Linked DNA regions of Arabidopsis thaliana. The protein of the gene in region 2 interacts with the protein of the main gene of each other region in a pairwise test. Each region holds a gene or a part of one and is shown on either strand. Other genes may lie near its edges. The genes, in order: AT1G06790 and AT5G62950.

Region 1 (4,864 bases), on a different chromosome or scaffold from region 2:
TTATTTTAGTAACCTCTGACATGATTGTTTCTTTCAGCGCTCTCCGCAGGGTGAAGCCCATGGAAAATGTGTTATATAAGGCTAGTCGTGTCTTTAACAATTGCCCTGCCATCGCTACCAAACTCCGTGCCATGAATTATAACACAGAAGAACAAGTTCAGGCGCAGAAAAATCAAGCAGCGTATCTAATGCAGCTTGCAGCAAGGACCACCCCAAAAGGGCTTCACTGTCTCTCAATGCGGCTGACATCAGAATACTTTTCACTGGATCCTGAAAAAAGGCAGATGCCTAACCAGCAAAATTATTTTGACGCTAATTTCAATCATTATGTTGTCTTCTCTGACAATGTTTTGGCTTCTTCAGTCGTTGTTAACTCTACGATATCTTCATCAAAGGTATCATGCATTTCTTATACAAATTTCTACTTGGTTATCATTATATGTTATACCTAATTTTAGAGTGTCTTACACTATATCTTCTCATTTACTTCCGCCACTTATTAATGTGGCTTCTGATTGCTGTTTGCAGGAGCCAGAAAGAATAGTCTTCCATGTCGTGACTGATTCACTTAATTACCCAGCAATCTCAATGTGGTTTCTGCTAAACATTCAAAGTAAAGCTACTATCCAAATCCTAAACATTGATGATATGGATGTCCTGCCTAGAGATTATGATCAATTACTGATGAAGCAAAACTCTAATGACCCAAGATTCATTTCTACACTCAATCACGCACGCTTCTATCTCCCGGATATATTCCCGGGTTTGAACAAGATGGTACTCTTGGACCATGATGTAGTTGTTCAAAGAGATTTAAGTAGACTGTGGAGCATTGATATGAAAGGAAAGGTGGTTGGAGCTGTAGAGACTTGTCTTGAAGGTGAATCTTCATTTCGATCAATGAGCACATTTATTAATTTCTCAGACACATGGGTCGCTGGGAAATTTAGTCCTAGAGCTTGCACATGGGCTTTCGGGATGAATCTAATTGATCTCGAAGAATGGAGAATACGGAAGTTGACTTCTACATACATAAAATACTTCAACCTGGTACGCTATATACACACACACACTCTACTGCACTTGCTCTCCCTATGGAAATAACACTGTAGCCATATTCAAAGTTTTCAAATGGGTTCTTAGATTTGTTGATTCGTCATTATATATGAAAAAGATTGTAATAATTATTAGGTTTTAGGTTGGCTATATCGAGGATGAAAGGTTTTGAATTTAGAACACAAATAACATTGCTGTAACTAGCAAAGAACATAAGCAAGCTAGTGCTAAAGATCATCTCCTAGAAGAAGAATGGTTACAAGCAACAACATATCTTGTCTATGTAATGGGCGTAAACCTAACAATGGTTTTGGGGAATTTGTTTTTTTGGCAGGGAACAAAGAGACCATTGTGGAAAGCTGGGAGCTTACCAATAGGTTGGTTGACTTTCTATAGGCAAACATTAGCATTGGACAAGAGATGGCATGTGATGGGGTTAGGTCGCGAATCAGGAGTCAAAGCGGTTGACATCGAACAAGCGGCAGTTATACACTACGATGGGGTCATGAAGCCGTGGTTGGACATTGGAAAAGAGAATTACAAACGTTACTGGAACATACACGTCCCTTACCATCACACCTACTTGCAACAGTGCAATCTTCAAGCTTGATACGAAAAAAAAAAAAAAAAAATCTGGCAACTTAGGTTCAGTTTCAGATTCTTTTTGTTAAACAAGCTACTCAAGCATGATATCAATGTTATGATTAGCTTCATTCTTTATCCCACATCAGTGTATATCTTGGTTCTTCTTTTTTCACACTTTTCATCAGAGCTTAATATTACTTAGACTATAGTGACAGGCTGACAGCAACAGATTGTTGTCATACCTTGGACTTGGCCCAATTTCCTTTTTTGGCCCACCGGTATGAATAAAAAGAGTGCGGTTTTCAGTTCGGTTCGGTTTATAAGCGTAACGATGACAAACCGATCGGTTTGTTTTAATTCTTGACTTTAATAACTAAACCCTAAATCGTTCTTCTTCTTCCGCATCTTCCTCACTCGATTAGTAGGTTCTCTCTTCTTCCAATCTATTCCCAACTTCTCACTTTTCCGTCTAATCGTTGTCTTCATCACCATCTCTCCGAGTTCCCTTCGAGACCATCTTATCTTCAATGGTTTAGGTATTGCCCGATTTTAGATAGTTTTGTTCTCTCGTATAGTTATGACAATGGCAGATTTTTGTACGCTCTGCACATGCTTAATCTTGAGGATTGGGCTATTATTACGTACTATGATTTAATGAATTTTAGATTTGAATTTTGGAACTTTTGATGATATGCATGTTAATGACCAAGAATGCTCCGAATTTGTCTGATTCGTTATTCGAATTCTACTTCTTTGATTGTTTGTTTCCAATTTTCCATGCATCTGACTTGTGAATTTTGAACAAAATTTTCAGAAATGTTTTATCTTAGCGAGCTAGAACATTCACTAAGAGTGCCTCCGCATCTACTTAATCTCCCTCTCGAAGATGCCATTAAGTCAGTGCTTCAAAATGTGTTCTTGGACAAGGTTTGCTCATTGCCCTTTTTCTTTCACTTTTATGGTATCCATTGTTTGCTTATTTATATACACACCTGGCTAATTTTATCAAAGTGGATTTTTGCTATGAAAGGTTTTAGCTGATTTGGGGCTTTGTGTATCTATTTACGACATTAAATCAGTAGAAGGAGGGTTTGTGTTACCCGGTGATGGTGCTGCGACCTATAAGGTATATCCAAATTGCTGATCTTTTCTCATCTCTATTCTTTTATCAGTTGAACATGGTTTTTTATATCAATTTTATGGCCTCCCAATGTCACTGTTAGTGGCATCATTGTTGACCTATCACCGTGTATTGCACACTTTCTGCACTGTATTGAGTTACATCTTTGTAGACTCATCATTACCGTACTAGAGTTTCAAACCATTCTGAGATTTTGGTTCTTCGGAATCGTTATCTGTTAGTCTAACTTTCACTGTACGGTTTTGGTTAAGAATTTTATTTTCAAAAGTTTTATCTTGCCTTGATTCAATATCTCATGTCGTGTTGTTAATACTTTGTTTGTGTGATTGTAGGTAGGTCTTAGAATTGTTGTGTTCCGTCCATTTGTTGGTGAGGTCATAGCTGCAAAGTTCAAAGAATCTGACGCCAATGGCTTGCGCTGTGAGTACTTTATTATACTGTTCCCTGAAGAATTCCAATGTTGTGCACTGTCTGCATCCTGCTACTCTAGTACATTGTTAGCTTATTAGCTACTTATGAATTGGATTAATACTTTGAAATCATGGATATGGTTAATCATTTACATGCTTACGGTACCTCTATACTTGGCAGTAACACTTGGATTCTTTGACGATATTTATGTGCCTGCTCCACTTATGCCGAAACCCAACCGCTGTGAGCCTGACCCTTATAATAGGTAAGAATATGTGTCCTGCAGTTTATGTAGTACTACCAGCTCTCCAACTATGAGTAGGAGATTGCACCAACATCTTTATATATCATTTGATCACAAAGTATAATGTTTTTTGGTTCACAGGAAGCAAATGATATGGGTGTGGGAATATGGAGAACCGAAAGAAGACTATATTGTTGACGATGCCTGTCAGGTGAATTTTTGGTTCCTGCATGTATCTTTAAGCATAATTATCTGAATGTGGTATGTTTTTATAACGAGGCATTGTAAATGGCAGATCAAGTTTCGAGTAGAGAGCATCAGCTATCCATCAGTTCCAACTGAGCGAGCAGAGGACGCAAAGCCTTTTGCTCCAATGGTGGTCACTGTAAGTTCATTCATCAAACTCATTCTCTGAAACTTTTCCACTTGTATATGCATTATAAACAACGCTAGTTAAGTAAGGTCAGATAAGCCTCCTGATTCCCTCCTCTCTTATAGATACTTAACTTTTATTTTGAGACACCATGATTTTTTGTTTTGGTTTTCCTACGTCGGTCCAGTGGTCAATCAATCTTGTGTACTGCGCAGGGGAATATGGATGATGATGGTTTGGGTCCTGTTTCTTGGTGGGATTCTTATGAACAGGTTGATCAAGAAGAGTGAGTGACCGAAACAGGTGGGATTCTTATGAACAGGTTGATCAAGAAGGGTGAGAGACCGAGACTTAGTCTAGGCATTGTCAGATGAAATTTTAACAGATGATGATCAAGCCAGTTTTGATGAAAACTTAAAATTTATTTTAAACTATGCACGGGTTTTCACTAAGATAGGGACGTTCAATTTTGTTTATCTGTAATGTAAAAAGGCAATGACACAAATTAGGAAGATTAAAAACCAAAAAAAAATCGATAAATTACAAGAGTTGTGATGGATGATGGAGTTGGGTGAGGAGTTGATGTATGTCAGGAGCATGTTGATCATCTGCACGGATGCGATCAGGTTGAATCCAACGGCCGTCAGTGTTCCTCACCATCCCTTTGTTTGCGTCTTGGCGCCAATAAGGAGGGACCATGAAATGGTCTTTCAAAAAATCAGATGCTTTGTTCACTAACGCTGGATCTCTCCCACTTGATAACACAAATCTCTGTCCTTTCCCATGATACCTATGTTTTTTTAAACAATAATCCAGATTCATCAACTCATACTAATACTATTATGCTCTAAACGACAAATTTATTTCCTAGTAGTTTTCGATAATTAAATTCTCTCCAACCTACCCATGAAAGAAAGAAGTGCCACGTAAATCAGATTACTAAATGACCCCATTATTCTCCATTCGGCATTTGATGAGGCAATAATGTTTACCAAATTTTTGAAAATCGTATTAATAAAGAAATGGTGTTGGAAAATGTGGACATTGAGATCTG
Region 2 (4,205 bases):
GACAATTTCTTTGGCACCTATATATCTCTATTTAGTGAGACCCACTTTTTAAAGTTAACAAAAGTATATCTGTCCCGCGTATCTTTGTTCTATTGCATCACTCATTACTTGTCATTACATCATCATAAGTTATGATTCACAACATCATGAGATTTTCAGTCTAGTCCTATAATATTGTGATATTTGGAAAAAATGAAGTATATGTAAAATGGAGTTGATGTAAGTTTAAGTTACATACTCTTAAGGATTATATGTAAATTTGTACAAACAGGAAAATTGGATACTAAAAGAAGCATATCAGAAAACAAAAATTTAAAACTTCCTAACAACTTGGTTTTACCCAAACCGAAATAAATCACTTCCAAACCAACTGATCAAAGAAAATGATCTTCCTTTACCGGGATCACGACTGAACCAGCACACTAATGAACATAAACCATGTCTAATTGAGATCACAAACACTACAAGAGTATTATATTCAAAATTCTGTCTATGTATTTCTTCTTGAATGTTATTCTGATTATGCTTCAACTCAACCATATGTATGCGGAATTTGAATATTTCTACCATATATTTATCATTATAGCTCAGTGAAACAATGGAATGGATTACATATGCTTTCATAAAGGTTGAGATACCTATTTTTGCTCAATATCAAGATGTCAAACCTTATGCTTATCCAACGAAATTTGAAATAATATTCGACAAGAAAAGTATATTAAATAAGTTGTATTATTCTCCTTTAGTATAATTATAGAACATATTCCTCTACACTTTTGTGGGTCGTACCTCTATATTTTAAAGTTTAAATCATTTAGTATGGACCTGTTTTTTTTTTCTTTGTTAATGAATGGACGTAAATTGTTCGATCGATTATCTTCTTAACTTAAAAGATAACAAACTCAATCTAGTTAATAAGCGTTTAAGAGGATGGTTACAAAATCAAAACATAAACTCAACAACTTCATTAGCACGTCACGACTGTTCACCATTCTCTGTTTCTTCTTCATCATCATCTTTAGGACTTGCAGTTGTAGGCAGAGGAGGTAACAAATCCTTCACAAGCTCTAATATCCCATCAGTGTCGATTTCTCGATCATCCAGGTTCTCTATGATCTACAAGAGAGTCACAATCAACAAATGTTATAAACCATGAAGAAGAGAAATTAAATGCAGTGATAGAAATGGTAGTGTATAAGCTAGAAACAACAAACAAACCGGTAACAGTTCGACTATAGAAGAAGGCCGGAGATTGATGATATTGAGAATCTCAGCTTTAGCGAGTTTGAAATCTTTACACTTGTCTGCGAATTTGTTAATGCTCTCTCGTGTTTGAGTGGAAGCAGCAGTCTCCACCAAATAATCATAGACCTATAAAGATCATTCCAATTAGCAACAAAAGTGCACTCTTAAGACCAAATCAGAAGAGAGATATTGCAGGCAAGAGAACCTTGTATTCTGATCTAGCAATTGGAGCTATAACTCTTGTAGTATCTTTTGATGCACCTCTCGAGTTAAGAAAGTCAAGCACTTCGAAATTGGTCAGTGCTCCTGCATTTGCCTTGACTCTGCAACAACCACACCAAATTTTAACTACAAAAATAGAGAAGGAATCGAACAAAAACACAATGGAAGATGGATGATACATTTTCATCTCTTAGGTTGAGCAGAGAGACTTCAACCACAGGAAGCTTTTTCTTCAACCAAACGAAGTCGTTTTAACAATATGGGAAGAGAACAACACTAACGATGCTCCAAAATCAGAGTTTTTGCTCCTGAAAAATTCAATGGGAACATCAACATCAAGGAACAGATGATTCTCGTTCCCACAAATCATGATGCAATGGGAACATCAACATCAATAACGTTTCTAAATCGAAAATATTTAGGTCACGTTCAGTACTAAGCACCTTAATATGAATCAAAGCTTAAAGTGAAACCCTTGGATTCGATCAAAAATAATGACCAATTTAAGGGAAGAAAATAAGTACCTTCTCTTCTTTGACGGAAAGGATTAGTTCAAATACTAGAAGTAGCTCGCTGATTGACTCACAACACACAAAATATCAACGTCACGTAATTAAGATCAATTACTAGTTGGATTTGAGTATTACCAAAGCTACTAATTAAGATCAAACACATACATGAATCTGTAAAAGTAAAATCTAATACGAACCCAAACCCACCAAAATCTAACACCAACTCAAACCCACCAAAATCTAACACGAACCCACCAAAATCCGTCGATAAAAACGCCAACCCAGATCGCTATTTCGCTATGGTGACAAAAAAAAGAGTAGAATCAAAGAAAAAGAAGAACAAAAACTTCACCTTTAGGGATTGAAAAGTTAGGGTGGCTGCTCCTTCACCAAGCTCTGGAAGTTTCTGTTTATAGTCAGATCAATCCTTTGAATTCTTCAACTCTTATGGCTTCAGAGAAGTAATAAAAAAAAAAAAAAAGAGATCGAAGAAGAAGAGCGTTTGGGAGAAAGAAGAAGAAAGAAAGATAAAAAAAATGGAATAAAGAATAATTAAAAAAGTGTAATAGGGCCAACCCTATTTTAGCCCGTAACAATTTAAGTATAGCCCTATCTTAACCTAAAATCTTTTATTAGGGTTAGGGCTTATATCTTTTAACAGACTCGGGCCGGCCCTAAATTATAAGCCCATATTAACATCCCTAATTAGAGGAGCTCCTTCGAGGTATGATTCAGACGGAGATTGAGACCACGATTTGCTCCAGACGGTGGCGGTGAATGAATCGGTAGAACGACGTCGTTATTGTCAAAAGTAAAACCCTAGAGACCAAAAAATAAACTTAAGCTGGGCCTGTTTATCCCATAAAGAACATTTATGTGTTATTGCATCCACGGCCCTCTTCAGCTTGATGGGTTATAAGCCCAAATACATGTCCCAATGCTTGAATTGTTGTGTGTTTAGCGTTTGCTTAGTTATTTTTAAACTATGCCAAACGCTTGACTTGTTGTCTGTGCGTTTGCATTTACACTTTGCAAAAAATATGTTATAATTTCCGAAAAATATGATTTTAAAAAAAAACTTACATGTAACATAAATAGTTTGAAATCTTTCTAAGAAGTAACTTCATAAATAACTAAGGTGAAATAATCATAATCCTACTATATTATTTGGGAAGTACATTTTAAATGTAATCTTATTTTTTGTAAGTAATTACATAGGTATGCCATTAGAAATAAAATTTAAAGAGTAAATTAATTCATCTCTTTAAATATTAAAAAGTTAAATACTAATTTAATTAATTAAATTTAATTAAAAAACGAAATACATTATTAATTTTTTTAAAAAGTAACCAATTAAAATCAACAAATTAGATTTGATATCTAAATTATCATATTAATTTTTTATTAATTATTATAGTTCACCTCTTATCTTTATATGATTATATTTTTGCGAAAAAATAATATCATCGTTATAAAAAATAATTAGATTTTTTTCGCATATGCCATAATTTGAATTTTTAAAAACGAATATAAACTGTTCAAGACATGAAAAATACTATAACGGGTCAAAAATAGATTTAAGACAATTTTCTACTGAGTATTGGGTCATAATTTGCAAACTTTTATATATAATAAATAATTCTTAATATTTTAAAAATTACTACTTTCAAAAAAAAATCACGGGACGAGTAAAGAAATTACAGAACGGGTTTTATTTTGGAATAGAGTTATATGGTGGATGTATTTGAATCAATATTTATAAAAATTTAAAATATTATTAATATGATGTTTTAATAAGAGTTAAAACTTCAGTTTTTTAACAATTGTCTCATGGACTCGTGGTATAGCTTTCTTAATAACAATTGTAAACTGTAAAATATATATATATATATATTATTATAATACAATTTGCAAGTTTTAATATATATTACCTTTAAAAAATAAATCGTCCCGCGGTATACCGCGGGTTAAAATCTAGTTTTTTGTTTAAAATATATGTCAAAATTTTGTATGTTTAAGAAGAGTCTTGTAAACTTTTTGAAAATCAATTTTTATATATTGTATCATTTTTTATGCGGCGTCTCGATGAACGACAAATATACCAATACAAACCTAACTCTTATTTCTTAAGAATAAAAATCAATTCAGTTTTAAGCAAATTAAAGGAATTAGGACACATGATTCTTGCTTTGGAGAAAAAAGCACTTGAAACATGTAAGCTAAGCT

What was found.
Region 1: the proteins of AT5G62950 (region 2) and AT1G06790 interact in a two-hybrid assay, tested with the Arabidopsis thaliana proteins (one large-scale study listed by BioGRID).

The regions. Positions count from the first base shown.
Region 1 is NC_003070.9:2,085,188-2,090,051, forward strand, and holds AT1G06790 (RNA polymerase Rpb7 N-terminal domain-containing protein), read left to right. Parts: upstream 1-1,994; 5' UTR 1,995-2,177; intron 2,178-2,455; 5' UTR 2,456-2,457; coding exon 2,458-2,568; intron 2,569-2,671; coding exon 2,672-2,767; intron 2,768-3,114; coding exon 3,115-3,202; intron 3,203-3,373; coding exon 3,374-3,458; intron 3,459-3,578; coding exon 3,579-3,648; intron 3,649-3,732; coding exon 3,733-3,822; coding exon of another isoform or gene 3,823-3,852; exon of another isoform or gene 3,853-4,025; coding exon 4,026-4,100; 3' UTR 4,101-4,260; downstream 4,261-4,864. Other genes in the region: GAUT6 (galacturonosyltransferase 6), read left to right, coding at 38-395, 529-1,050, 1,391-1,666; PLA-I{gamma}1 (alpha/beta-Hydrolases superfamily protein), read right to left, coding at 4,351-4,600.
Region 2 is NC_003076.8:25,261,380-25,265,584, forward strand, and holds AT5G62950 (RNA polymerase II, Rpb4, core protein), read right to left. Parts: upstream 2,675-4,205; 5' UTR 1,992-2,674; exon of another isoform or gene 1,776-1,991; 5' UTR 1,655-1,775; coding exon 1,647-1,654; intron 1,569-1,646; coding exon 1,451-1,568; intron 1,372-1,450; coding exon 1,219-1,371; coding exon of another isoform or gene 1,144-1,218; exon of another isoform or gene 1,117-1,143; coding exon 976-1,116; 3' UTR 800-975; downstream 1-799.